7 linked regions of the Canis lupus familiaris genome follow. The protein of the gene in region 1 interacts with the protein of each later gene in a pairwise test. Links are inferred from orthologs where the notes say so. Each region holds a gene or a part of one and is shown in the gene's direction. Other genes may lie near its edges.

Region 1 (3,500 bases):
AGTGCGGCGGGCCGGGCCCGGGAGGCCGGCGGCTCCCCAAAGCCTCCAGAGAGGCTGCCCTCCCCAGGGCCCGGGCCGAAGGTGGCCTGGGCTCCCCGCTCTCGGCTGGAAATAGCCGCTCAGGAGGCATCGCGCCCCTTGGTCCCGGGAGGAGCCAGTCGGCGGGTCTAGACCTGGTGCCGGTGTCCGAGCCGGTGTCCCCGGGGCAGCCGGTGTCCCCGGCCGGACCCGCTGTCAGCCCTGCTCCCCTCCCCGCGCCTGGATCTCTCCACTGTTAGTCTCATTATATTATTTTCAGTACAGATGACTTCTTAGCTGGGAAGTGATCTAAATGTCCTACAGGGGGACGCCTGGGGGCTCAGCGGTCGGGCACCGCCTTCGGGCCAGGCCATGACCCCGGGGACCCAGGATCGAGTCCCATGTCGGGCTCCGCACAGGGAGCCTGCTTCTCCCTCGGCCTGGGTCTCTGCCTCTGTGTCTCATGTATACATAAAAATTTTTTTGATATTATTTATTTATTTATTCAGAGAGAGAGAGAGGCAAAGACACAGGCAGGGGGAGACATAAAATCTTTAAAAAAATACAAATTTATTTCCTACCTGTGTAGACTTTTCCAAAAACTAAAGTTGTAAGTCAGAAAAATTGCTTTTTGACACATTTGTGATTAGAAAAATCTAGACGTGGTACGTCGGCCTAGCTTTGTCACAGAGATCAAAATAACCATTACTCTCGTGGCAAGACTCTCCCTGTATCTTAAAACTTTTAGTACCTTCCATCCTTCCCTGGAGCCATGTTTGTTTGTTTTTAATTTATTTTGTGTTTGTTTTTAAGAGGGTTATTTGTGATTTCCCAGAAGTGAAACCCTTTCCCAGGGCAGCCCCTTGCAGCCCCCTGCTTCACCTGCGGGTCACGAGATGACCATTAGCCAGGACTTCCCCGTACTCATTTGTGCAGGCCTCCGGAGCGAACACCCAAGTCCGGAGATTGTTTCCATAAATGAACCACAGGAACAAGAGTTGCTAGAGATGATGGGGGAAAGTAATCCGTGTAGGAAACACCAAAAGAATGGTGCTGTTTCACAGCTGCTAGATTGACATTTAGCAGGGGTTTTCCCCCACTCTGTAAACTGGATATTTGCTGAGTTTAGAAGAAACTCCACATATTTGATCATGTTTCCCAAACTCCCATTTCTCATAGTAAACCAGTGGCTTGGAGTTACTCTCATTTCTGTATTCCATTAAACACGTGTGGGGCTTCCCTTAATTCAAGAGCTTTAATGTGCGTGTTCCTTTGCTCCGTAGTGACCTCTACTACCACCCGGTCATTAATAATCCAAGTTATAAGTATTAGAATGGATGGCTGTTTGTACGTTCTTGTTTCTTGATTCATTGATTGGAATTAACCGTGTCCTTCCAGAACATGGGATCTGTGTTCCCATTCAGATCGTCATCTCCCTACCACCGGCCATCAACAGTGGCATAATGTAAACTACATGATATCTGCCATTTTAAAAACCATCTTAACCATGGTCTCTCTCTTTCCCTTTTTTTAAACATAGGACATGGATTTGATTGACATACTTTGGAGGCAAGATATAGATCTTGGGGTCAGTCGAGAAGTATTTGACTTCAGTCAACGACGGAAGGAGCATGAGCTGGAAAAACAGAAAAAACTTGAAAAGGAAAGACAAGAACAACTCCAAAAGGAGCAAGAGAAAGCTTTCTTTGCTCAGTTACAACTAGACGAAGAGACCGGTGAATTCCTTCCGGTTCAGCCAGCCCCACACATCCCATCGGAAACCAGTGCATCTGCCAACTACTCCCAGGTACAGAAAACTCTGTTCTTGGGAAGGTGTGTGGCAGGGTTTATGGAACTAATACCGACCCAAGAGTTAAAACATCTGGATTTGAGTTTCACTTCACCTTTTTTTATGCCTTTTACTGTCTTCATGACCATATCAAGTCACCTTCCCAACCTCAGCTTCCTGATGAGTTCCTCACAGAGTTGTAGGATTGGGAGGACATAAATCACGGGAAGGTGCTTTCTAAGCTGTGGAAACATACGTAAGTGTCAAGCAGCAGCGGTGGTGGCAGCGGTAAAAGTAGTACAGAGTACTCGCATCTTGTCTGCAGATGAGCAGTTGCAGCTCAGAGATTCAGTAACTTGCTTGCCCGGAGCGCTCAAAACTGGGGAAACCAAGATTCAAACCCAGATAGTCTGGTTGATTTGATTCTGTGCTCTGTACTACACTAAACTGATTTCGGAAAGAAGATAAATGTCTAACTAAATTATAAACACCGTATGACACTGAACAATCTTTTTTTTCTTTTATGTCTCTCTCTTTTATCTAGGTTCCCCACATTCCCAAGCCAGATGCTTTGTACTTTGATGACTGCATGCAGCTTTTGGCAGAGACATTCCCGTTCGTAGATGACAATGAGGTACATTTGGTTAACAGTGAAACTCCTCCACTATATCTAATCACTGTATCTAATATATCCTCTAAGTGTGTCTCCGGTAAAAAAAAATATTTTAAGAGGAAATTTTGTCAAAGAATCCTTAGCCTGTAGATAACTTTACAATTAAAAAAAATATATCTCTACAAAATATACACTTACTGCTGTATAGCCAGAAGCATGGATCTGCATAACCATGGAAACAAATGACTCATTGGTTGTAGGTACTTAGAAATAAATTTTGGTGTGTAAAAAGCAAGCTGGGTAATAAACCAAGACTTGCTCAATTAACACTTTTAGTAAATTTATTATGTTTGAAGCACTATACTAGATATTTTTACTGAGACATACAAATTAAAAATCCTAAAGATTTATACTTATTTTGAAATTTACCTTTGAATGTATAGGATAAAACAACTAAACTAGTAAATGATTAAGTTTAGAGTCGGGCAGGGGAAAAAGAGATTTGTTTCATTAATAAGTGGTTTCATAAGTGGTTATAACTAAAGAAATAGAGAACTGTTAGCCAAGTCCAGTTGAAGGTGTTGTGGGGGTGCCTTGGGGTGTACTTCTCCACTGATGCTGGCAGACTCATGGAGATAAATGCTCTGTCAATTGTAGGTTTCTTCAGCTGCATTTCAGTCCCTTGTTCCTGATATTCCCAGCCAAATCGAAAACCCAGTCTTCATTGCTCCTAATCAGGCTCAGTCACCTCAGACTCTTGCCGTTCAGTCAGTCATTGCTGATTTAGACAATATGCAGCAGGACATTGAGCAAGTTTGGGAGGAGCTACTATCCATTCCAGAACTGCAGGTAACTAAGATCTAATATCAATAAATACCAAAGACACTTTGATATTCAGTGCCTTTAATTATCCAGTTACTATTTACATGCCACCTACTTAATGGAAGGATTGGAAGGTGCTTTTTTTAATATTTTATTTATTTATTTGAGAGAGAGGGAGAGAGCAGGAGAGCATAAGGGAGAGAGCAGGGGAGCATAAGCGTTGGAGAGGGGGAAGCAGGGAGCCCGATGTGGGGCTCC
Region 2 (4,002 bases), on another chromosome or scaffold:
AAGGTTGGTCTCTGTTTGTTGTGGATTATTACAGAGGGGTCCCCTCCACAGACTGTCCTCCACCTGGCATGGGACCAGAACACCCCCTCTGTGACCCAGGGCACTGTTCTGGTCCTGCCTTTGCAACCACGAGCTGGACCTGTTCCCCAGGTCCCTGAACCTGGGAGCCCCTCACACTGAGGCCCTGGGCCAAAGCTGTTCATCACCATTTCTATAGAAGAGAAATAATTCTCTTTGACCATTTTTAAAAAGATTTTATTTATTCATCCATGAGAGACACACAGATAGAGGCAGAAACATAGGCAGGGGGAGAAGCAGGCTCCCTGCAGGAACCCCAGTGTGAAACTCCATCGCAGGTCCCCAGAGATCATGACCTGAGCCGAAGGCATACCCTCAACCTCTGAACCGCCCAGGCGTCCTTCTTTACCCATTTCTTGACCAAAAAAGAGAAATCAAAGGACAGATGGGGATGTCCATGGCGGGGACGGGGGCAATGGTACAAGGAGGCTGCCCTCCCCGATTAGACCCCAGGACCCTGGCCTCTGGCAGTAGCGTCTAGCGCACTGTCCCCCAGGACGAGAACTCCAGCTGGATTCCCAGGTGGAGCCCCCTGCCCCCAAGCTGGGCTCCCGCTGGGACCACCCCTGGGGACGGCGGAGTCTCCCGAGGGTCCAATGGGGCTGAGGGGACGCGCGCGAGGCCGGCTGGGAGAGGCGAGCAGCGCGGCCGGGGCGCACGGTTGTGGGCAACGGGGGAGCTCTTGGCTCGGCTCCCTCACTGGGGACGACCGCCACCACGCGGGGCGCGCGGCACCTGAGCGCAGGTGCAGCCCTCGGCGGCGCTCTGGCGGGCGCTGGGCGGGCGCGGGGCGGGGCGGGGCCGGGCCGCGGCGGGCGGGGGGCGGGGCCGGGCCGTGGGCGGGGGGCTGGGGGCGGGGGGCGGGGCCGGGCCCGCGAGCGGCGCGCGGCGGGCGGCGGGCGGGGGCCGGGGGGCGGGGCCGGGCGGCGGCGGCGCGCAGTGGGCGGGGCGGCGTGACGCGCGCCGACGCCGATCCCGGAAGCGGTGTCAGATGCTGGGGAGCCGGGCGGGCGGGCTGGCGGCGGGCGGCGGGGGGGACTTGTTGTTCTTTGCGAAGTCGGAGCCCCAGCGCGCGGCGGAGGCGGCGGCCGAGGGGAGCGCGAGAGTGAGCGCGAGCGCGAGGAGAGCGCGTGCCCGCGAGGAGCCGCCGCGCGCCCGCGCCCCCCGCGCGACGCCAGGTGAGGAGCGGCCGGGCCGGGCCGGGCCGAGTGGGCCGGGGCCGGGGCCGGGGTCGGGGTCGGGGCCGGGGCCGGGGCCGGGGCCGGGGCTGGGCCGGCCGGGGGCGGGCCGGGGGCGGGCGGGGCCGCGCGCCGCTGAGTCACGGCGGCCTCGGCGCGGCCGCGAAGTTGGGCGGGACCCCGAGACCCCGGCCCGCGCACCTGCCGTCAGGTGCCGCGCGGGCCGGGCCGCCCGCCCCTGAGGCCCCGGAGCGCTCTCCGGGTCCCCGGGCCGCCCCGAGCCCGAGCGGGAGGCTGGGGGCCCCGCGGGGGGGAGCCCGGGGCGTGCGGGCGGGCCCGGCGCTCCTTGTCCAGCCCTCTCCGCCGGCGGTGCCTTTGGCCCCGAGATCCGCTCGGAGGCGGGAAGGCGGGGGCGAAAATACAGGCCACGTGCAGGGGAGCGCGTGGTGGCGCGGGGCCGACCCGGCCGGTGCCGCCCTGCCCGGCGGGGGCTGCCCACCCGCGCTGGGGGCGGGGGCGGGGGGGACAGGACGAGGGGACTCATGACCGCTGTCACGTTCGGAGCAGCTGACCTGCCAGGGGTTCCCCGGAGGCAGGCCTTGGGGTGGGAGCTCTGAGTGGGGAGGGGGACGCTTGCCCCAAACCCCGCGGCCTCACCTTCTCGTCTGCGAATGGGGGTCTCCATCCCTCCCAGGTCCGCCCACCCGCGTCCACTGCCCCCGCCCCGGGAACCTCGGAGGGCTACGGGGTGGGGGAGGGTCCCCCCTACCTGGGTCTACCTTAGGCAGAGCTGATGGCTTTGCCTTGGGCGTCTCGTGCTGTTCTGGCCAGCCACGTGCTGTGGAGTGCTTTCACAAAGCAGAACACAGTCGTGGAGCGTTGATGTTTTGGGGTGCTGGAAGTTCCCTGCTCTGTTCTGCGTTAATGATTATGCTCTTGTTTACCTTTCCCGCTGCTCTCTGGTCGGGCAGCCCTGCTTCCCCGCTGGATGGTCAGTGCGGAAGATCCCTACACGCAGATGGGGTCCGTGGCTTCCTGGGTCCGTGTGACTTGGACGCCCTCCCCTCCCCCTCTTCCCTCCCCTTTATGGGCACTGGAGATTTTGCTGTTACAGCCCTCCCAGCACAGGTATATCTCGGCAGAGTGCCGCTCTCCACCGTGTGCGCTGGGCCTCTCCAAGCACCATGCCTTCTGGGATGGGGCTTCTTAAAGAGTGTCTGTCCACGCGGGTGGGAGGGGTCTGAGAAGTGGAAGGTGGGCTGTGCAGGTGGGTGAGGCACACCTAAACCTCTCTTGCATTGTGGGTAGTTGACATCTTTTGCAGAACTTCCCTCAGGAGGTAACCCAGTAGCAGTGTTTTGAGTTTGAGCTCGGGGAGGGGGGGGGGGGGGCGGGGAGGAGGGAGGTCTGCTTTTAGAACTTAACCCCGGTCCTCCTGTGGTTCCAAAATAAAGTTTACTGACCCAGGAACACAAAGCAAGACTTCTCTTTGGAGTGCCTTTGCGTCTGTGTTTGAGCATAGCTGGACTTTAAGGGATGTGGTCCAAGTTCAGCCCCACTCACTTTCAAGGTGGTTGCTAAAAATGGGAGTCGAATTGGGGCTACTGGGGAAGTCACTGCTGTGGCTTGCTTCGTTCCAGCCCTGTCTCCAGGGCCCGGCAGGGCTGCAGTGAGGTGGCTCTCCCGACCCACCTTCGTCCGCCCAAGTGTCTGCTGCCCCACACGCGGGCTCTCTTGGAGCTCCAATAGCTGGAGAGTCTGTTTACTGTCTCAGGAGCCGAGAAGAAGGCCTGCCTGGTCCCGAGTCTAAAGGTTTCTGGAGTGGACTTTCTGGCTTTAGGGTCCAGTCCACACGGGAAATGGAACCCGGGCAGCTGTGAGCGTTCTCTGTGTGGTTGCTCCTCAGAGCAGTAAACAGTGACTCACCCTCCCCTCTGCTCCCCGCCTCCCTGCTCCCTGCCGATGGAAGATGCATTGCTCCCGTGTTTACTTTTGCTTTTTGTAAGTCCCAGACTCGTCATGTTTCCTCTTTCTTACAGTTTCAGGAAATTGAAAGTGTTGTCTTAAAATCATAGAACTTTAGAACAGGTAGAGATACATGGTACGGATCATGCAGTCCACGCCCCCCCCCCACCCCCTCCCGCTTTAGATGAGGACCCCAAGCCTGAAGCCTCCTCACCTGGCCTGTAGCGCCAGAGTCTGACACCCGGGGTCTGGCGTAGCACCCTGCCTGCTTTTCTGTGTCACGTGGGCTGCCCTGGACGGGGGGTGCCCCAGAGCCCCCTCCCTTCAGTGCAGTGCTCACGTGTGGTTAGGCAGCATGCCTCCCACTTGCTGGAAGTTGAGGGGAACAGGTGTAGTTAAGAACATCCGCTGCTCTCCTTCCAGCGAGGGGAGCAAGCCTCGGACAGAGAGACCAGGACCAAGTCTTGGGCTCAGCCCTTGATTTATGCTCACCAGAGGGTGCCCGCCTGCCACAGGGAGGGCAGGAGGGGGCTTTCTGGTACAGTAGGGGTTGAGGGAGGAGGGCAGGAGCACTGATTGTGGGGGCCCTAGAAGGCAGAGCTGGAGGCCTGGAAGGCGACAGGTAGCCAGGGAGCAAGGGGCTCAGGAGGGCCTTTGGGCAGGTGGTTCTTCCTATCCTGGGGCCTACATTGGAGGGACCAAGGTCCAGATGGAAGAAGCCGAGGCCTGAGCCAGGTGCTGCTGGAGGGCTGGAGCATCTGCAGGGAGGCGGGCTGAGGCC
Region 3 (4,170 bases), on another chromosome or scaffold:
CATCCTGTGAGGACTGAGGAGTTGGGGGTGTGGGAACGTGAGCGGATTAGCCAGTGAGCTTGCACCCATGGTGGTCCCAGCCCCGGGGTCAGTTGCTTCTATTTTCTGATGGCATCGTGATTCCCGGCTTGAGCTGGGCGGCACCAGGTCAAGCCTGCGTGGCCTGCCAGGGTCCTGCTGTGTGGAGTGGCCCCTGGCCCAGCAGTCGGTCAGACTCTACGTCTCCACCAGGTGTGACCTGGAGAACTGAGCTGGTGGTGGCGGTGGGGAGGCTGGTGGAGCTAGAGGCCACAGGACTGCATTTCCGTCCTCAAGGGCAGGCCTTCGTTGTTGCTAGTATATCGAGTTGGCTATAAAAGTCATGGCCCAGGGACACCTGGCTGGCTCAGTCTGTAGGACGTGCCATCTTGAGGTTGTGCGTTCGAGCCCCATCTTGGGTGGAAAGAGTACTTACAAACAAAATCCTCAAAGAAAAAGAAATTGAGAGTCACAGCCCAGATGTCTTAGGGCCCTGGAGTCTCTGAGACTGCAGCCACGCCCCGTACGAGGTCGCGCCCTGGCCTTAGCACTTTGGGACAGACAACCACAGGGAAACCTCCTCCTGGAGGGGGCGGGGGTCCTGCGGGTGCCCTCGCGCCCTGGCTTTGGGGACCTCTGCAGATGGCCTTCCTCAGGCGGTGGCACTGAATTCCCATCAAAACCCCGCCGCCGGCCTCTCGCTGCGCCTGCGCCAGCTCACCTGGGTGCCCCGGGCCCGCCCGGCCAGGTGAGCCGCCCTGCTCGGCTCTACACCCGAGAAGGGAAGTGCAGAGGCGACGGGATCCCCCCGACGTCCCTTCTTCCCCCGGGGGCCTGTTTCCCTGGGAGCCGAGCAGCAGCCAGAGGTCCCTGGAGGGCGGGGGCAGACGCGGCCTCGCGGGCCCGGAGCCCCGACAGCCCCGACGGCGCGGGAAGGGTCTCGCCGGCGGAGCGGGCCGCGGCGCGGGCGCCTCTAGGACTGGGCGCAGGGCAGCCCCCCGCGCGGACGCTGGACGGCGCTGCGGGGCCCCTGCGAGCCGGGGGCGGCGGGGGCGGCGGGGGCGGCGGCGGGGGGAGCGCGGGGCAGGGCGAGGCCGCGGGCGCGGCTCCCCGCGCAGGCGCAGTGCCGCCGCGCCGCCGCTCCGGCCCCTTTAAGCCGCGGCCGGCCCGTCGCCGCTTCATGAATGGAGCCCACGTGACCAAACATCATGTGACGTCTGTGGAGCGGCGGCGGCGGCGGCGGCGGCGGCGGATCCCGAGCCTGGTCCGGCCCGGCCTTCCCAGCGCGCTCGGCCCGGCCCGCGCAGGCGGCGAGCCCCCACCCCGGGCCCGGAGCCCCCGCGCGGCCCCGACCCCCGCCCGCCGGCCGCCCGGCCTCGGCCCGCCCGGGCCCGCAGTGTGCTGGGTGAGTGCGGCGGCGGCGGGCCGGCGGCGGGGGTCGGGCCCGGGCGGGGGCGGGCGGGCGGGCGGCGGCTCCCCGGGCGGCGGCGGCGGCGGGCGGGCCGCGCGCTCCCCGCTGCTCGTTTGCCGGCGCGCTCCCGGCGGCCCGTGCCTCGGTTTCCCCGCGGGTCGGAGCGGCCGCGGGCCCTGGCGCCCGGGGTGCCGGGGGTGGGCCGCGGGGGCCGGAGGAGGGCGGGGCGGGGCGTCGGCGGGGCCCGCTCGGCGGAGCCCCGGGCGCCCTGGTGGGAGGGGCGGCCGTGTGGCGGGAGGAAAGGGTGGGGTGGAGCGGGGCGCCCGCGGCTCCGCGGAAGAGCCCGGGGCCCGGCTGCTGATTCATCAGGTGTCCGTGCCCGCCGGCCCGGGCGCTGGGGTCCCCGGCGGGCCGCGGGGGGGGCGGCACGTGGCGGGCCCGGGAAGACCCTGCCCGCGCCGGCTTCGCTCCGTCACACGCGTGCCAGAGCCCGGAGGGAGACTTGCTGAGTCATCAGCATGAGGTCACTGGATGCTCGTTCTAATGGGGGGGGGGGGGGGGCCGAGCCAGGGGCCTGGGGTCTGAAAGGCCGGGGGATGAGAGCGGGAGGGGAAGCGGGGCGGGGGCCAGGCCCAGGGCAGCGGCTCAAGTCTGGGCTTCTGGGCGAGCTGAAGGCTGGGCGAGGACGAGGTGCAGGGGCCTGCGTGCAGGTGTCGTGTCCCGGCCGAACATGAAGCCCCCGCCCGCCCGGCCCGCCCGGCCGTGCTCGCCTCCGGCGTCCGGTCCCCAACCGGCGTCTGGGACACTTCCCCAAACTGGGAAATAGTTCTGAGTGAGAGGAGGGGAGGAGCTTAGGGGGGCCGTGCTTGCCAGGCTGGGAAGCAGGCTTTCCCTGTGACTGGTCTAGTGGGCTGGGCTGGGCAGCCCCTGGGCGGGGAAGGGAGGGATGCACCCTGGCCGGAGGGAGTCAGTGGCAGAAACAGGGGTGCCTGGATTCTCCAGTCCCGGAGGACAGTGGACAGGGCAGGGGCGAGCAGGTGCAGCTCTACCAGGAAACTCCAATGAGACGGGGCGGCAGGACTTTGGCACCTGGGGAGTGAGGTGCTGGTGAGCAGGCCCTGCCCCTTTGGCAGACTGGCCTTGGGGTTTGGGTCCAAGCCCTGCAGGTGGCGGCCACAGCCGAGGGCGCCTGGTCCTGGGGCACAGCCGGTGGGCTGGTGTGGGAGGCACGCGGAAGGCACTCCGCTCCCCATCACCCCAGAGCTGTCCCCCTCCAGGCTGGGCTCCGTGCTGTGTGGGTGTTAGTGAAGACTGTGGCCCCGGTGAGTGTCGGGATTGGGAGGGGGCAGCCTGAGGGTGGTGTGGCCTGGGCTACCTTTCCTGACTGTGGATGGCTCCTGGCCTCCAGGGGCGGGGGTGTGGTTCATGGCTAGGTCTGGCCGGCCTTGTGGTCTGTCTTCAGGGATCCCCCTCCCCCCCCCCCCCCCCCCACACACACACACACACGCGCGCACTCACAGACACACGCATACTTAGCTTTGGGCTCATCGATGCCAGATGTTTAACACCTCAGCTGATCTTTCCTTCTGCGGCAATGTTATACCTGAGGAATGCAGATTCCCGAAGGGCTGGTTTTCTAAGTCTTCTTCTTTATTCTTAGTGGAAATTGAGTCGTTGGCTTTTTCCAGAATGGCTTTCAGCGGCTGGGGGATCTCGGAGGAGGTGGTGAAGGCCAGGCTAGGTTGAGGCCACTAGAATTTGGGGCCAGGCCCAGGAGCAGGGGCTGGCTGGCTGTGTTGCTCTTGCCACCTGTCCACATCCTGGTTTGGGCCCAGGTAAGGGGTGGCACTGTTTGAACCCGTTTTTCCCTTCCCAGCTGGCTGTCAGCCTGAGGAGGTGGCCCAGCATACCCTGGGGATTCCAGGCTGTTGGGACCACCCGAGCCCTCTCTACGAGGTGGCTCAGCCTCTGGGGAAGGGGAGCGGGGAAGGATGACAGAGCCTGTGGGACGGGGGAAAAGCAGAAGCTTCTCCTTAATCCGGCCTCCCGGGTACCCTTTCTTTGGCTTCTAGGGGTACCCTGAGCTGTCTCTAACAGTCCCTCCCCAAAGGCTATCACTGTCACACCTGTGTGTGTCCCAGGTGGGCAGAGGCCTGGTCAGGAGCCTGAAGCACAGGCTTTGCAGAGACCTGCCCCTCCCCCACCACACGCAGACACACGCTACACCTTTGATTAGGAGGCGAGTGGCTGCACTTGTGCTGAGTTCAGGCCTTCTGCAGAGGGTGAAATCTGTCGAGGAGGCACTTTTCAGCTTCCAGCCGCCACACTCGGCACTTCTCTGTGTGATCTCTTCAGGAAGTCACCGTTGTGCTCAGCATTCGGGGGTGGAGGGAGGATGGCTGGCGGGAAAAGCTGGTGCTTGGGCTGTTCCTTTGGGCTGACAACGGTTAGACCCAGGGGAGTGTCCCTGTACCCTGACTCAGACTCGAGGCTGGGGGAGCCCCCTGGGTGGGTCTGGGGCTCTGGGGATCTTCTGGCCTCCAGCTGGTGTCTTCTCCATCCTCTGCTCTGGAACAGCCATGGGACCAGCCTCAGGGTCTGCCTCAGAGCCCTGGGGAACCCGGCTGTGGTGAGGCACGTCCCGGGACTAGGACGGGGCTAGGTGAGGTGGCCGCTGTACCCTGAAGCCGCTTTGCACTTCCACCTCCCCCACCTGTGCTGTATCTCCCCAGTGAGGGTGA
Region 4 (4,188 bases), on another chromosome or scaffold:
GACGAGAAACTTACATTCTGATTGGGTAAGACAGACATTAAATAGGGACGCCTGGGTGGCTCAGTGGTTGAGCCTCTTACCTTCAGCTCAGGTCATGATCCTGGGGTCCTGAGATCCAATCCCGCATCACGGTCCCTGCAGGGAGCTGGCTTCTCCCTTTGCCTATGTCTCTGCCTCTCTCTCTCTGTCTCTCATGAATAAATCAAATCTTAAAAGAATAGTAAGCAAATACATAAGCAAGGTAACACCTTATGGAGATAGTAAGGTAATATAAAAACATATTTCAGAAGTGGGGGCTCTTTTGGCCAGAGCAGCCAGGAAAGGCCTCTCTGAGGTAACGACCTCTAAGCTGACTCGAGAGATGAGAAAACCTGGCAGTGAACAGAGGACATAGCTAGTGCAAAGGACCTGTGGTAGGAAAAAGCTAGGTGTGCTTGAAAAACAGTAGGAAGGGCAGTGTGGCTGAAGGGTAGTGGGTGAGGGGAGAATGGAAGGAGGTGAGGCTGCAGAACTGGGTAGAGGCCAGATGGCTTAGGGCCCTATAGACCAGAAGGAGGAGTATAGTCTATATTCTCAATGCAAATGGAAGCTATTGAGGGTGTTAAGCCAGAGGGTGTGAGTGTGTGAAACGGTCTGATCCTTGTTTTAAGAACCTCGTCGGGTGTGTGATGAAAGCCTTTAGAGGCAAAGTGGGGAAGCTGTCAGGAGGCTTGCTGCTGTTCTCCAGGTGAATTGATGGTGCCTGGCCCAGGGGCCAGGATTGGGGGGTGGGAAGGAGGGTCAGACGCTGGACCGCGTTGGAGGTGGAGCCAGCCTGACCGATGGGGATGAAGGCAGAAAGAGCAATGGGCTTGAACAACTGAAAGTGGGGAGTCTGCGGGTACCGGGAGCTGGGGCAGGGTGGTGGGTCGAGAGCTGGATGTTTGCCGTCCTCATCTGGCACCCAGGTGGAGGTGCAGAGTGGGCAGTCCAGGACTCAGCGCTCCCTGGAGATCATGGGTGGCATTTAAAACCACGGGACTGCATGAGATCATCGAGGCGGAGGGTGTAGGTTGAAAGGAGAAGAGGCGCGGGGCTGGCGACTGCAAAATGAGACGAACGACACCTCCGCCCACGCGGCTCTCGCGAGGCGTCACGTGAACGCACCGCGCAGGGGCTCTCACGCGGGTGGAGGAGCCCGGCCCGGCCGCGCGGAGGCCCGGGGTGGGGGCCCTATGTGGGCGGGGCCGGCTGGGGGCGGGGCCGAGGGCCGGGAGGCCGCTCGGGGGCCGGAGGGACCGCCGGGCGGTGACGTCACCGCATGACTGGGTTTTTATGAATGAAAGGAATCCTGTGAGTGAGTAATTCCGGGAAGCTCGCCTTACAACTCCGCGCCGCCCCCCGCGCCGCCCGCCCCACAACAAAACTCGGCGCGGCGCTCTCGGGAGCCCGGCTCGGAGCGACCCGCGGTCGGGACCGGAGGGAGCCAGGACCAGGGCGCCGGGCCGGGACAGCCAGCCCGGACGGCGGCGGCGGGGCCAGGCGGAGCGGGCCGAGAGGCGGGTGAGGGAAGGGCTCCGAGGCGGGGACGGGCGCGCGGAAGCCGGGGCGCAGGGCCGGGTGCCCGGGATCGTGCCCGGGGCCCGCGGGGTGCCCTCGCCCGGACGCCGGGTGGCGGGGGAGCGGGGCCCGGAGGTCGGGGGCACCGAGCTGGGCGGGGCGCGGCGGGACGGGACGGGACGGGACCGGGCAGCGCAGGCCGGCGAGCGGCGGCGTCCGCCCAGGCGGGGCCGGGGGCGGCGTGTGCACGTACGTGACTCGGCGAGAGCAGTCCCTGGACGCCCGCCCGCGGGCCGTGCGTGCGCGGTTTGTTTACCTCCGAGGGCGGGGGCGGGGGCGGGCGTGTGTGTCTGTTCCCGGCCGGGGGCCCTCGTATCTTACCGGGTGCGTGAGTGAGACAGGCGGGGGGGCGTGCGTGTGCGTGTGTGTCCGCCCGCCCACGCGCTCCCGGGGCCGAAGACCCCCCTGCGGCCTGCGTGCCAGCCGTGTGCTGTGCCCCTCGGAAAGAGTGTCCCCACATGAATAAACGCAGAACAGGGACTCGATCGACGGAAGTGGCCAGCTCCCTGGTCACACGGGGGGACGGGAACTCTCCCTTGGGCTGTCCCCTTCCGACCAGTCCGCAGCCGGGCCCTTCGGTCTACGGAGTTTCCCAGGGACACGGCCATGTGACTGCCGTGCTTGTCCCTGGCCCAGAGCGGGCGCCTGCAGCCACAGGGTGGGGCAAAGTATCAAAGGCCCCACCCGGCTGGACTGAGGGGTGAGAGAGGGCCGGCCCTGGCCTCAGCACCCCGATCCATCGGGCTGGCAACAAAATAGGCTGGTGCCTCTGTCCTGGTCCCCAGGTTTTCCAGCACGGGGTGGGGGTCCATCCCCTCCCTCTCAGGAGGAAGAAGGACCAGAAAACCCAACGCAAAGGTGGCAAGTCAGAAGGAATCCCTGGCCTCCTCTCTCTGGTGGCCACTCTGGCTGGTCCTGGTTCTGGAGGTTGTACCTGCTGGGTTGGGGAGGGTGAGACCGGGAGGTTGGGGTGGAGCTGGTTTCTGCTCTCCTGGTAGTTTCAGTTCACAGGTGGGATTAGTCAGACCTATTGATGGTTGGACCTGAGGAGCTAGTTGAAGGCCTGGGCCAGCCCTAGGACCCAGAGTCCTCACCCTGGGCTGGGCATGGTCCACAGGCAGGTGGCAACAGGTGGTCTTGGTCCATGAAGGGTTAAGATGTGAGAGGCAGGGCCCTGACCTAGCCCCTCTCCCCAAGAGCCCACTGACATTCAGGGTTGGGGTTCCTTGGTCCTCTTCTGCCCTCCTCCCACCCTCAGAGCTTGGTGGGGGGCAGTAATTGAGTTTGCTGGGGGGAGGAACCAGACGATCTTTTAACCTCAAGCCTTTGAGCCCTGGTGAGCTCTGGTACCACAGCTGGGAATCAGTGTCGCCATCTGCAGCAGGAACTAGACAATATTTGGGGTGGCAGGATGGGTGTAGAATGGTAGAGGTATGGCAGCCTCTGCACACCAGCTATTTTCCAGGGGACCTGTGTGAGAGAAAGAGGAGCCAACAGCCCCAGGCTGGAGCCAGGGATGTCCTGGAGTATAGCGTTTGAGTAAGGGAGGTGGCAGCCAGGAGCACAGGAACCAGGCAGGCCCATCCTTCAGGGCTGGACAGGAAATGTCCCCCAGTAGGGCAGGGGGTCAGGGGACAAGGGGAAGTGGCTGGTTGGCTGGAAAGCTAGCACTGAAAGTTTTGACCTTCCATTGAATCACCTCTGGGCCTTCCCTGGGTCTGGGACCCAGCATGGGACAGCCTTCCTCAGTCCTGACACTTCTGGCCTGCGTTGCCATCTGCTGTGGGTCAGGTGCTGGGGATGAGATGGTGAAGAAACCAGGTCCAGAGCCTGCCCTCTGGGAGCAGGGAAACAAAGTTGAAGAAGAGCTACCAAACTAAAAGCAAAACCACAGCTGAGATGGGTAGTATGAGGAGAAGACATTGATTTGAAGTATGTCACGGGGCTCTAACTTAGCCAGGACCATCAAGGGAGGCTTCTCTGAGGAGGTGACCAGTGAGTTGGGTTGCCAGATGGAGGGATGGTCATCTATGGAGCCCCTACAGGCAGGGGTTGTGATTCCTCTTTTGGCCTTTGGGACCCAGCAACAAGTCTGGGCAGAGTAGGTGCCTCTTGGAAGTTTGCTGATTAAATGAATGAATGAGCACCAGATCCATGTCCTGGAAAAATTCCACAGCACTTGGAGAAAAAGGCCTGGGAACCCCCAGGGAAGCAGAAAGTCCGAACAGGCTATAGGATTTCTTGAAGCAATCTCTCAAAAGTGAGCAGATCCTTCAGAACCCACGTGCCATCCTCTCTCTCTCTCTCTCTCTCTCACACACACACACACTCCTTGTGGGAAATGTACTAGGATGGTAGTGTTTCCTGTCTGTTCCTTCATTGTTAGCATGAGGCTCCTGGGAGAGAGTGGGGAGACAATACAGTGGAGACCTGGGGGACCCACAGCGTGGGCTGGAGTGGGGGCTGGCATTGCAGGGTTTTGAAATGCACGGAGCATGAGCAGGTGTGTAGGTTTGTGTCAGCTGTCAGCAGTGCTCCCTCTGACAGCTCTTAGGAGAGGACAGATGGCAGGGCCGGTGGTGGAGGCTG
Region 5 (3,795 bases), on another chromosome or scaffold:
TCCAAACACGAACCTCCAAACCTCCGTGAGTGGGCGTGGGTGCTCAAGATTCTCCCCCCACCAGGTTGCAGAATTGGGAGAGGGACAGATACCAGTTTAACAAAATCTCTTAGGGGAACTGCATCTGTATAAACCAAAAGAAGTTCCCTGTGATAGACTGCATACTTTTAACAGAAACGTTTTGGCAGGCCGGTATGCGAGAGTCACTAACTGGGCTAGATTGTGCACCTTCCCGACCGGACTGGAGAGTTCACGGGAAGGACGCGGCGTTGGCCCCTGACGGTGTGTGGGGAGCGTTTAGAACCCGACTGAGGCCCTCAGTCTCCCCTTTCAGCTACTTCGGTGCTTGCGTGTGATGAAAACGCACCCGAAATTCCACTTCCTTTTGCCTAGTTTCATCTCGGGCCTGAACTTGGGTCTCTAATTCGGAGCTGGACGGAGGGTGGCAGGAAGGGACCACAGGGGCCAGGGCCTGATGTCGCCGTTTGGGACTCCTCGGGCTCCAGAAGCCCGGGGGAGGAGCCAGGGTCGTCTCGGACAGCCTCGCGTACGCCAGGCTCAAGAAGCCACTACAGAGCGGATTCACCGAGACGCGGCCACGGAGGACACAGCCCGGCGGCGGGAACCCCGCTGGCCGCTCCGCCCCTTCCCGCTCGGACCCGGCCTCCCGCTCGGAGCGGCCCGCCCATCCCGGGGTCTGAGCCAATAGGAAACCGAGATATATATGACTCACCATGTCTAACCAATCAGCTCGACGCTCGCTCTCCGCCAGCATCTCGCGCGATAACCAGGCGGCCTCTGACTTCACAATAAAAACCTTCCTTGAGGTGAAAGACTTCTCTCCCCGCCCCCCAGGCTGACGCCGGAAGCGAGGTGTGTCTGAGGAATCCCTCCGCGCTCCCGGCGGCAGAGGGAGGAGAGGCTCTTTGATCTTAGTAGCCTTGCAAAGTAGCGCGCCTTTTTCCTTTCTCGAGACGTTGGAAGTAACAACTCTTCTCTTCACAGCTACGCCGTGGACCTAAAAGTCGCTGGTCGGACACGATAGGGGCGTCGGATCGCGAAGACGGGTGGGTGGGAGGCGCGGGTCACGTGACCGCGGCGGAAGGATGTGCGGTGTGATGCGTCCTCATAGAGGCAAAGTCTATAAAGGACCCTCGATCGGCGCGGCGCGGCCATTTCCCTTCCTCCCGCCTGTAGATGTAGATCCCTGTGGCAAGCGTGCGCCTTCCCTCCTCCAATCCCCCAGGGTCCGCGGCCGCCATGGCGTATTAGAGGCAGCAGTGCCTGCGGCAGCATTGGCCTTTGCAGCGGCGGCAGCAGCACCAGGCTCTGCAGCGGCACCCCCCAGCGGCTTAAGCCATGGCGTAAGTACGGGGCCGCCCGCGCCGTGCTCCCCCGGGTCGGCGAGGGCAGTCGGCCCGCCTGGGCGCGGCCTGCGGCGGGGCGGGGCGGTGCCGCGTAGGGGGAAGCGGCTTTACGAGCGCCCGGGACGCGTGGCCCCTGTTTGGGTGTCCTCGAGACGCCGACGCTTCTGGGTCAGGAGAGTGCGGCCCGGCGGGGAGAAGCGAGCCCTCGGCGGCCCCGGCCCCGGCCGCGGCCCCCGACGGCTTCCCGCCCGGCCCCCCGCGAAACGTGGCAGGGGCCAAGATGGCGGCCGGGCAGGGCGGCGGCGGCGCAGCGTGAGTCACGGGCGGCCGTGGGCGGGGCCGGGCGGCCTGGGCCGTATTTGGACATGAGCCGGGCGCGCCTCCTCCGGCGGCGGGGGGAGGAGCGGCCCGGCCCCGAGGGCGTCCATCTTGGGCGGCCCGACGGGGCCGCGGGGAAGGTGGAAGCCATGGCCCCGGGGCCACGTGTCCCCGAGCCTCTGCTCCCGAGTGGAGTTCCAGTCTGGCCGTCCTGCCCCCGGGAGGAAGGGATGAGCTTCCCGGACCGGCCGATGTCGAAGGGGTTTCGGTTTCTGCTTCCGTTTCAGGCTTTTCACGGCATCCAGCAGCAGCGTTGCTGTAACCGACAAAGACACCTTCGAATTAAGCACATTCCTCGATTCCAGTAAAGTCCCGCGACATGGCCGAGATGAGTTTCCTGAGCAGCGAGGTGTTGGTGGGGGACTTGATGTCCCCCTTCGACCAGTCGGGTTTGGGGGCTGAGGAAAGCCTAGGTCTCTTAGACGACTACCTGGAGGTGGCCAAGCACTTCAAACCTCATGGGTTCTCCAGCGACAAGGCTAAGGCGGGCTCCTCCGAATGGCTGGCTTTGGATGGGTTGGTCAGTGCCTCAGACAACGGCAAGGGTGAGTGGGGGTCGTTGGCCGCCGGGTCTGGTCTCCGGGCTGTTGCTGAAGTGTGCGTCTGACCTCTCGGGTTCCTTCTTGACTCTTTTGCAGAGGATGCCTTCTCCGGGACAGATTGGATGGTGGAGAAAATGGATCTGAAGGAGTTTGATTTTGACACTCTGTTCAGTATAGATGACCTGGAAACCATGCCAGATGAGCTTTTGGCCACGTTGGATGACACGTGTGATCTCTTTGACCCCCTAGTCCAGGAGACTAATAAGGAGCCCCCTCAGATCGTGAACCCAATTGGCCATCTCCCAGAAAGTTTACCAAAAACAGACCAGATTGCCCCCTTTACCTTTCTGCAACCACTTCCACTCTCCCCAGGGGCCCTGTCCTCCACTCCAGATCATTCTTTTAGTTTAGAGCTAGGCAGTGAAGTGGATATCTCTGAAGGAGATAGAAAGTCAGATTCTACTGCTTACATTACCGTGATCCCTCAGTGCATAAAGGAGGAAGATGCCCCCTCAGATAATGACAGTGGCATCTGTATGAGTCCTGAGTCCTATCTTGGGTCCCCCCAGCATAGCCCCTCTACCTCCAGGGGCTCTCCAAATAGGAGCCTGCTGTCTCCAGGTTCCCTCTGTGGTTCTGCCCGCCCCAAACCCTATGACCCTCCTGGAGAGAAGACCGCAAAAGTAAAGGTTGAGAAACTAGATAAGAAACTGAAAAAAATGGAGCAGAACAAGACAGCAGCCACTAGGTACCGCCAGAAGAAGAGGGCAGAGCAGGAAGCCCTCACTGGTGAGTGTAAAGAACTGGAAAAGAAGAACGAGGCTCTGAAGGAGAGGGCAGATTCTTTAGCTAAGGAGATCCAGTATCTGAAAGATTTGATAGAGGAGGTCAGAAAGGCCAGGGAGAAGAAAAGGGTCCCCTAGTTGGGGGTGTCAGGAATGTGTGCTTGTACATAGGCTTGCGCTGAAGCTGTGTTGTAATAAATTATTTTGTAGTGAAAGTACTTGAGCTCGTGTGTACCTGGTTTCTTGTCTTAATCTCTACCCTGGTGATGGTGACCAAGTCAAGTGGAGTTGGCTCAATCCTGTTGGGCTCAGGGCCTCCACAGGAGACTCTGGGGGTGAGGCTGTGGCCTCATAAGCCATAACACTGACTAGTCTTGAGTACCCAGGTAAGGCCCCACCTGGGCATACAAGGTTAAATTCCACTTTGAACTCAAGTTCTGTAAACTCAATCCTGGAACTGCAAAGAAAAGGTCTTTGGGTTTTTCTTGGAATGGACTGTTAAAGGAGTTTTAAAGAGATGCAGAAATTCTTAGCCAGTGCTGGGCTCAAAGGCTGGCAATCTGACCAGAGGAATCCTTGCTGCAATTGGTGTGCAGGGCTAGCTCTCCAGGAAGAGCCAGTCTTGACGTTCATTGGAATGGCGATGGGGACACCCAGTGTGGCACCAGGTAGTGTGAGCTTTTTATGTGCTTTCTCCTGGTCCCTGGGGTAACCCTGTGGGGC
Region 6 (3,500 bases), on another chromosome or scaffold:
TTGGTTTCTGAAGAGACTAGCTATAACAATTTGATGTTTGTTTTACAGGATCCTGTAATTTGTTTTTAATTTTATTTATTTATTTATTTATTTGAGAGAATGTACATGAGGGCGGGGAGAAACAGACTTTCTGCTGAGCAGGGAGCCTAATGTGGGGCTCAATCCTGGGACCCTGAGACCATGACCTGAGCAGAAGGCAGATGCCCAACCTATTGAGCCACTCAAACACCCCTGATGTTTGATGATTTTTTTTTCTAACACTAGTATATACAGTATTTTTTTTTCCAGATGAGGCAAACATTGACATTTATCTTGCAGTATTGCCATTAAATCTGTAATACATATTTAATTCAGACTTTAAGTTGTCAATGTACTCTAAAGCTGAGTGTAAACTGATAGGTCCTCAATTTTTATGAAACATTGAATATATTTTAAGTGTTGGTTTGGTTCACATTTGATGTTTAATGATTTTTGACTGACCACAGGATACAGAAATGCTCAAGTCCTGTCTTAAATTACCTATTTCTCTTCTCCATGAAACCTCCAATGGAAAGAGGCATATATAGGAACAAAGAAGAAATGAATTGGTCACTTTGACTTGTCCCCCTGCCCCAATTCTGAAAACTAATAAACTGAGCAGAAACACTTATTCTGAAATTGAAATATAATAGTGCAAAGACTTAACTCTCTGGTTATCCTCATGAGGCAGGAGATAAAGGGGTATAACCAGGCCTAAATATAGAATAAGAAAGAACAAATAAGAATGGTGAGGATGCCTTCCATGTGAGAATAGTTCAGGCTTACCTTCTTGCTTCAGCCTGAAAAAACAGGTTGGAGGAGGCATACATTGGATGTGCTTCTCTAATTCACAGCTCGTTTTTAGTCCGTGACTCCAGTGAGTATTTCAGATTCTGACTTTAAACAGTTAAGTGTTCTGTCTGGTGTTCAGGGGGCATGTAGAGGGATGGAAAGACCTCTACATATATATTACGGAAGTTTTGGTTTATTTGGAATTAATTAATTGCTTTACTTTTTCACAGCTCAGCCATCTAATCAGTCTCCAATGTCTTTAACTTCTGATGCATCATCCCCAAGATCGTATGTGTCTCCAAGAATAAGCACACCTCAGACTAACACAGTCCCTATCAAACCTTTGATTAGTACTCCTCCTGTTTCATCACAGCCAAAGGTATGTTGCTTTTGAGGGAAATTTGGAAAAGAAAGCACGAAAGCACTCACTTCTGGAAAAACAAGTTTAATGTTTTAGACTCTCTATTGTAGGAAAAGCCCTCTTTGAGAACGTGTAGTAGTGGTGGAGTGAATGATGGGTCAGCTTAGATGCAGGTTAGTCTCAGTAAATTGAGGACTCTAGAGGGAGTTGCATCTATGCTACTTTTAAACATTTTTTTAATTAAAAATTATATTTATTTATTTACAGAGAGGGTATGGGGGGGGAGGGCAGAGGGAGAAGCAGACCCCTTGCTGAGCCGGGAGCTCACTGGCGGCTTGATCCTAGTACCGGGAAGTCAGACACATAACTGACTGAGCCACCTAGGCACCCCCATCATATGTGTTACTTTTATACGCTGATTGTTTTCTCTTACTGGCTGAGATTTGTGACCTGGAGGAAGAGTGGGATAAAGAAGGATAAAATAATTGTCTTAATATTTGTAGAGTTTTTTAACTTTTTAAAAGATATAACCTGTTTTCCAGTGGCTTTCCTCCCATACTTTTATTTTAGAAATGAATCCATTTCTGTGCTAAGAGCTTAATAGTATTATATTTAACTTCACATCATGAGAATCAACTACTATTTGCTTCATTTAATAGATAAGAGAATTAAGCCTTCAGTTAAATCCAGTTTTTGTGGTGGAATCAGAATTTAAGGCCTAGGTCTTTCTGAACACAGAATCCATTTTACTAAGCTTATACTACCTGTGTTTCTCCAAGCAAAAGTTTGCATGAATGGCTCCTCAGAGACGTTAGAAAATTGCTGGTCTCTTCTTACTGGAATATAAACCAGACCTTAACAACACTGCCTTCAGATTTTATACTATATCATTTGAGTCTTGCCCAAATTTTTTTTTTTTTTTAAGATTTTATTTATTCGTGAGAGACACAGAGAAAGGCAGAAACACAGGCAGAGGGACAAGCAGGCTCCATGCAGGGAGCCCGATGTGGGACTTGATCCCAGTACTCTGGGATCACACTCTAGGTGGAAGGCAGACGCTTACCTGCTGAGCTACCCAGGTATCCCTTACCCAAAATTTCTTAAGCAAATCTTAGTCATACTCATTCTTTGCTTTGTAGTCCTATTACCAGCAAAACATTAAAAGATTTGGAAGTTGGTATATGCACAAATTGCAGTTTTTTTTCTTAATGGTAAATTTAAGAAATTCTTTTTAGTTAAAAAGTAGGCTATTTCAATCCTTTATGCTGAAGATTTTTTTTTTTAAGAAGGAACTTTTTTTTTTTTTAAGAGTTTATTTATTTATTCATGAGAGACACACAGAGAGAGAGAGAGAGAGAGAGAGAGAGAGAGGCAGGCAGAGAGAGAAGCAGGATCCATGTAGGGAGCCCGACGTGGGACTCGATCCTGGGACTCCAGAACCAGGCCCTGGGCCAAAGGCAGGTGCCAAACCGCAGAGCCACCCAGGAATCCCCTGAAGATTTTTTTTTTTTTTAAGATTTTATTTTTTTTTTTTATTTTATTTTTTTTATTTTTTATTTATTTATGATAGTCACACAGAGAGAGAGGCAGAGACATAGGCAGAGGGAGAAGCAGGCTCCACGCACCAGGAGCCCAACGTGGGATTCGATCCCGGGTCTCCAGGATCACGCCCTGGGCCAAAGGCAGGCGCTAAACCACTGCGCCACCCAGGGATCCCTAAGATTTTATTTTTAAGCAATCTCTACGCTTATTGTGGGGCTCGAACTCACAACCCTGAGATCCAAGAGTCGAATGCTCTACCTACTAAGCCAACCAGGGGTCTTGCCAAAATTTTATATTGAAATAAAGTTAAGGCTTAAAGCTTTAGGCTTTTTCACAGAAGCCTAAAAATAAAAACGTATTGAAAGATAACTTGAAATTGATGCTAGGACAGCTTTTAGGTCTTCCTTAGCTTATCCCTTCCCTATTTAAGTCATTTATCTAAACTCATTTTAGGGTCAGTCTGGATTGATACATTTAACTCAAAATTTAAAAAGAAATTAGTCTATTCTGCAATTTCATACTGTTTGCACTTTGTGAGAGAAGGAAAAAATTGTTTCAACAAAGGAGATCTTCTTAGAGCTTAAAACTCATCAGGGTGTAGTATCTTAGGAGTACAATAAATAATGACTAAAAGTGATTGTAAAGTTTTACAATCAGTTATAAGATTAGCATTTCAAATCCCTTATGTATATGGGCATCAAATTTTTTTTTAAGTGGGAATTCAGTATTAAGTAGACCTTATAAAAATGCTTATAAAAATGATTTTTATGTAGCCAGGCTATCCAGA
Region 7 (4,297 bases), on another chromosome or scaffold:
TTGAGAGAGTGTAGATGGGAGAGAAGCCCTCACTCCTGGCCCCATTCCTCCAGGAAAACCGGGAGGTGGGAGACTGGCGTAAGAACATCGATGCGCTGAGTGGAATGGAGGGCCGCAAGAAAAAGTTTGAAGGCTGAGCTGGCTGCCCCCTGCCCTGGCCCTGAAGGTGTCCTTGAGGAATAAAGTTTCTCTCTGAGCTAGAAATGGCTGCAAGTCTGCTACCTGGGGGTCCGGTGTGAGGGAGATGAGAAGACTGAGGGGAGAGTCCCCCAAAGCCACACCACACAGCAGGAGCAGAGCTGGGTCTGCAGTAGGGGGCGTTCCCAGCTCTTATGCCTCACACGCAGGGTGTGCAGAGATGCCCAGACCGAGGTCCAAGGAGAGAGACATGCACACACACAGAGACAGCCAGAGACCCACAGAGAGGGAGAAAAGACAGAGATTCCTAGAAAGACCTGCAAAGAAAGGGGAAATGGAGAGGCCGATGTGCACAAAGCACATCAGAGACCACCAAACAAGGCAGAAATAGGGACTGAAAGAGGGACAATGCAGAGACATGGAGGAAGACACGGATGCAGAGCCAAAGAAAGACATAAATGAGGTCACACACATTCATATGCCAGTAGACAGATTCACAGAAATTGACAGATTCACCCCCAGAAATGCAGAGACAAAAATGCATGGGGAGACACAGGGAGTGAAAACACAGACTCGGAGAGACCCAGAGAGACAGCCCCTGGAGAAATGCCCAGAAAGAGAAACAGAGATGATAGGCAGGGAGAGACAGAGACACTGAGAAGCAGGAGGGGTGGCTGGCTCCCTTAGGGTTCAAGGTCGTGGCCGGCTGTGGGTAAGGGTAAGGGGGGCAGGAATACCCAACAGCTCAGTGTCAGATGAAGGTGGGGGAGTGTGAGGTCATGGGCCTGACACCACACCCTCTCCCCTCCCCCGACCCACACCTGCTTCCCGGCTTTAGCGCCTGTTGTCACCAGGATGGAATCCTGGTGGCAGACAAAGGGGTGGGGGTGGGAGGGGGTTGACAGAGACAGAGACAGAGACACACAGGTGGAGGGTCCCAGAGACAAAGGAGAGATGGACAGTATCAGAGATGCAGAGAGGCCCGAAGAGACACAGAAACTGGGACAAGAGCCTTATAAGAGGAAGCACCCCTTGTGCTCTTTTTGTCAGTAAGTATTCTCTGAGGACCTACTGTGTGCCAAGCCCAGGGACTTCAAAGCATCGGGTTCAGCGTGCTGTAAGGGAGGTGGGGAGCCCGGAGGTTGGAGGTCACCTGACCCAGTCTAGGTGCGAGGCCATGCTGATGGGGTGAAGGGGTCCCTAGACCCCCAGGAGGTGCCAGGATCCTGAATATGCAGCCAGAGCGGGGGCAGGGCAGCCTCTGAGCTGGACTCTGGGTCTGAGAGAGGAATTCTCAGGCCCTCCCTCTCCCCTGGGGGGCGGGGCTGAGACTCCACTATAAACCAGGGGTGCTTCCACTCGCAGGGTCAGCAACAGATCTGCCCTGCCCATTTGCTCACCGACTCTGCAGACTCAGCCTTAGGTAATGGTCTCCAGGAGCTTCGTACTGGGGGGAGATGGGGGGGGGGGAGACGACAGGAGGGGTGGCTACGGAGGTGGAGGTGGTACAAACTTAAGGCTTGGGAATTCCTGGGAAGTTCAGGCTTTATGAGGCCTGAGGACAGAGGTATTAGGATTTGGGAGTTATGGAGTCTGGGGGTGCCGAGATTGGGGTGTCCCAGAATATAACACCTTCAGACCTAGGAGCTCAGAGGGAATCTCAGAAATTGGGGATATCTGGGCTTGGACATTTATGGGCTGGGTGTCAGGACTGGGAGCCTCAGACTCTGGGGATTTGAGAATTGAGGTCTCCAGGTCTGAAGCCATATGATTGGAGGTACCAAATTTTGGGGCAACATGAATTGTACCTCTGAGCTTGGGCGTCTAGATTTTGGGGTCTCAAGACGTTGAGGCTTTAGAATGTAGGTGTCGAGACCTAGAGCGTCAAGATCTGGGGATGTCAGCCCAGACGCTGGAATCTCAAGAATGGGGTTCTCAGAATCTGGAGACATGAGGCCTTGCTTGTCCCCAGAAACTAGGGGCATCATCAGTTGGAGGGGCTCAGGATCTGTGGGTCTCAGGATTTGGGGGTGCTCTTAACCTGGATACTGTTGGTCCTGGGGGAATCCCAAAGATGATGTGGTGTCTATGTAGGAGTCAGGGTGAGATGTGTGGACTTCACTGCTCTTGATGAGTCCAGCTTCCTTCAAGGCTGTGGGTAGGGGGCCAGGAGGGGCCAGGTGGGAAGATAACCAGATAGGGGGAGGGGGAGGGGTGGAGAGGGAGCCTGCGTGACTAATTCTCCCAGGAGCCTCCCCCCTTGAATCCCTTCTTAGGAAATGTCCTCTGTTTCACCATCTACGACATCCCCCCAAAATAGCCTTTGGGGGGTGGGGCAGCTATTGTCTTCAGGCCACAGTCCCTTCCCAAATACCTTCTCCTAATCTCCACTCAGATCAGGTTCCCATGGACATGTCATAAGACAAAGGAGGACAGCTGTGGTGGTGGAGGGGCAGGAGCTGCAGCTTTGGGGCTGTGCTCCCCCCACACCTCCCAGAGCCCTTTCCCTGTCAGGGCTCCCAGCCCCTCCTTCCTGAGACTGGGGAGTCCAGGCCCCCAGCCCCTCCTCCCTCAGACCCAGGGGTCAAGGCCCCCAGGCCCTCCTCCCTCAGACCCAGGACTTCAGGCCCCCATTCCCTCCTCCCTCAGACCCAGGACTTCAGGCCCCCATTCCCTCCTCCCTCAGACCCAGGACTCTGGCCCCCAGCCCCTCCTCCATCGGGACCCCACCTCAGTCGCATGTTCTTTGGTCCTTAGGTGACACAGGATGTCGGACACCGAGGAGCAGGAGTATGAGGAGTGAGTGGTGCTGGTGGGAGGGCTGGGGTATGGAGAGGTGGGACCCTCTCCCACCTCCAACACGCTAACCCTGCCTCTCTGTCCTCTTCCTGTGTCCTCAGGGAGCAGCCCGAAGGTGAGTGGGGAGTGGGTGGCCCTCGGTGGCCTGGGGACACGCGCGGGAGGCCCGAGGACAAGGGTCGCCCATCGCCCCCGGCCACCCGGGGCGGCCACCCTCGGGGTCGCAGCACCCTGGGCGTGCTCTCTTGTGGGGTTCTAACCCTGCCTTTTCTGCCCCCTGCCCTTCCAGAAGAGGAGGCTGCGGAGGAGGAGGAGGAAGGTGAGGCCTGGACCCGCAGGTCTGCGGCCCAGGCAGCCCCGCGGGGCCGGGGCTGGGTGGGGAGGGGGCGCTGGGCGTGGCGGGGCCGGCGGGCACGGGGCTCCCGACCGCCCCGGCTTCAGGTCCTTTAACAGCCTCTACCCTTTCTTTCCTCCCTGCCCCCCCCCCCCGCCCCCCGCACCCCGGCGTGGCCGCTCCCCCTCGCTACCCCCTCCTCGCTTCTCCCCCTGCCTCCTCCTCCCCAGCCGCCGAGGAGCCGGAGCCCGTGGCAGAGCGAGGTAACCGCGGCTGCTTCGCTTCCCGAGACGGATTTCCTCGGGCCCCGAGCCCTGCGAGGACCCCTGCGCCCGCATAACCCGCCCAGGCCCGGTCCTTTAAGCTCCGGAGAGCTCGCGCGCCCTCTGGTGTCCACGAAGGGAAACGGCCTCGCCGAGGCTTTAACCCATTCCCTTCCTTCTTAAAGGGACCGACACCCAAGCCTTCTTCCCCAGCCTGGAGGAATTCTTGTAGAAGGGTTGGATGTTTGCGGACAGACACCCCCACCCCACCCCCATCTAAGTCCCCGACCCTGTCACTTTTCTCCTTCATATACATTCAAAGGTTGGGGTGTGAGTTGCAGAAAGGGCTCTCCCTGGGCGTCTGGATTCTTGTGTCCCCAGAGGGGAGGGGCTGGGGGCACCCTGAAGTGCTAGGTGTAAATGCAGAAGAGCAGGAGCTTTGGTATGTAAGAGGAAGGTCTGGGGGGGTTGGAGCCCTGGGTTCCCAGAGAAGTGGGAGGGGGACCCCACACCAGTTCTGAATGTATATCTGATGCGTGTGATCCTCCTCTTCCTGATTTCCCTTGTTCCCTCTTCTCCCCCCCTACTCATGCCTCTCCCCCAGAGCTGCTCCTGGGGTCTATGGCTTGGAGGGGAGTTCCCTCCTCTGGGTGTATCAGGCCCACCCCCATGAACTCTTGCTAATTATCTCTTTGTATCTCCCCACTAGAAGAGGAGCGTCCCAAACCAAGGTGAGATCCTAGGGGCTAAGCATCCCAATCAC

What was found.
Region 2: the proteins of NFE2L2 (region 1) and MAFK interact in binary tests that used the Homo sapiens proteins (3 or more experiments, as listed by UniProt). The link is inferred for Canis lupus familiaris from reciprocal best matches to the Homo sapiens genes NFE2L2 and MAFK.
Region 3: the proteins of NFE2L2 (region 1) and MAFG interact in binary tests that used the Homo sapiens proteins (3 or more experiments, as listed by UniProt). The link is inferred for Canis lupus familiaris from reciprocal best matches to the Homo sapiens genes NFE2L2 and MAFG.
Region 4: the proteins of NFE2L2 (region 1) and MAFF interact in binary tests that used the Homo sapiens proteins (3 or more experiments, as listed by UniProt). The link is inferred for Canis lupus familiaris from reciprocal best matches to the Homo sapiens genes NFE2L2 and MAFF.
Region 5: the proteins of NFE2L2 (region 1) and ATF4 interact in binary tests that used the Homo sapiens proteins (3 or more experiments, as listed by UniProt). The link is inferred for Canis lupus familiaris from reciprocal best matches to the Homo sapiens genes NFE2L2 and ATF4.
Region 6: the proteins of NFE2L2 (region 1) and WW domain-containing adapter protein with coiled-coil interact in a two-hybrid assay, tested with the Homo sapiens proteins (2 studies listed by BioGRID and IntAct). The two-hybrid records come from large-scale screens. The link is inferred for Canis lupus familiaris from reciprocal best matches to the Homo sapiens genes NFE2L2 and WAC.
Region 7: the proteins of NFE2L2 (region 1) and TNNT1 interact in binary tests that used the Homo sapiens proteins (3 or more experiments, as listed by UniProt). The two-hybrid records come from large-scale screens. The link is inferred for Canis lupus familiaris from reciprocal best matches to the Homo sapiens genes NFE2L2 and TNNT1.

What each region holds. Positions count from the first base shown.
Region 1 is NC_049257.1:21,323,584-21,327,083, reverse strand, and holds part of NFE2L2 (nuclear factor erythroid 2-related factor 2), read left to right. Parts: intron 1-1,558; coding exon 1,559-1,825; intron 1,826-2,351; coding exon 2,352-2,441; intron 2,442-3,077; coding exon 3,078-3,269; intron 3,270-3,500.
Region 2 is NC_049227.1:15,573,349-15,577,350, reverse strand, and holds the start of MAFK (transcription factor MafK), read left to right. Parts: upstream 1-1,202; 5' UTR 1,203-1,256; intron 1,257-3,507; exon of another isoform or gene 3,508-4,002. UniProt on the Homo sapiens protein: Since they lack a putative transactivation domain, the small Mafs behave as transcriptional repressors when they dimerize among themselves.
Region 3 is NC_049230.1:1,190,586-1,194,755, forward strand, and holds the start of MAFG (transcription factor MafG), read left to right. Parts: upstream 1-1,370; 5' UTR 1,371-1,423; intron 1,424-1,823; exon of another isoform or gene 1,824-1,952; intron 1,953-2,118; exon of another isoform or gene 2,119-2,139; intron 2,140-2,354; exon of another isoform or gene 2,355-2,751; intron 2,752-2,942; exon of another isoform or gene 2,943-4,170. UniProt on the Homo sapiens protein: Since they lack a putative transactivation domain, the small Mafs behave as transcriptional repressors when they dimerize among themselves.
Region 4 is NC_049231.1:27,483,728-27,487,915, reverse strand, and holds the start of MAFF (transcription factor MafF), read left to right. Parts: upstream 1-1,388; 5' UTR 1,389-1,542; intron 1,543-4,188. UniProt on the Homo sapiens protein: Since they lack a putative transactivation domain, the small Mafs behave as transcriptional repressors when they dimerize among themselves.
Region 5 is NC_049231.1:26,489,723-26,493,517, reverse strand, and holds ATF4 (cyclic AMP-dependent transcription factor ATF-4), read left to right. Parts: upstream 1-1,150; 5' UTR 1,151-1,364; intron 1,365-1,972; 5' UTR 1,973-2,064; coding exon 2,065-2,290; intron 2,291-2,383; coding exon 2,384-3,210; 3' UTR 3,211-3,295; downstream 3,296-3,795. UniProt on the Homo sapiens protein: Transcription factor that binds the cAMP response element (CRE) (consensus: 5'-GTGACGT[AC][AG]-3') and displays two biological functions, as regulator of metabolic and redox processes under normal cellular conditions, and as master transcription factor during integrated stress response (ISR).
Region 6 is NC_049223.1:15,360,465-15,363,964, reverse strand, and holds part of WW domain-containing adapter protein with coiled-coil, read left to right. Parts: intron 1-1,040; coding exon 1,041-1,189; intron 1,190-3,500.
Region 7 is NC_049222.1:103,244,240-103,248,536, forward strand, and holds the start of TNNT1 (troponin T, slow skeletal muscle), read left to right. Parts: upstream 1-1,497; 5' UTR 1,498-1,561; intron 1,562-2,179; exon of another isoform or gene 2,180-2,290; intron 2,291-2,868; exon of another isoform or gene 2,869-2,895; 5' UTR 2,896-2,905; coding exon 2,906-2,937; exon of another isoform or gene 2,938-3,038; coding exon 3,039-3,052; exon of another isoform or gene 3,053-3,226; coding exon 3,227-3,256; intron 3,257-3,501; coding exon 3,502-3,534; intron 3,535-4,243; coding exon 4,244-4,265; intron 4,266-4,297. Other genes in the region: TNNI3 (troponin I, cardiac muscle), read left to right, coding at 54-137. UniProt on the Homo sapiens protein: Troponin T is the tropomyosin-binding subunit of troponin, the thin filament regulatory complex which confers calcium-sensitivity to striated muscle actomyosin ATPase activity.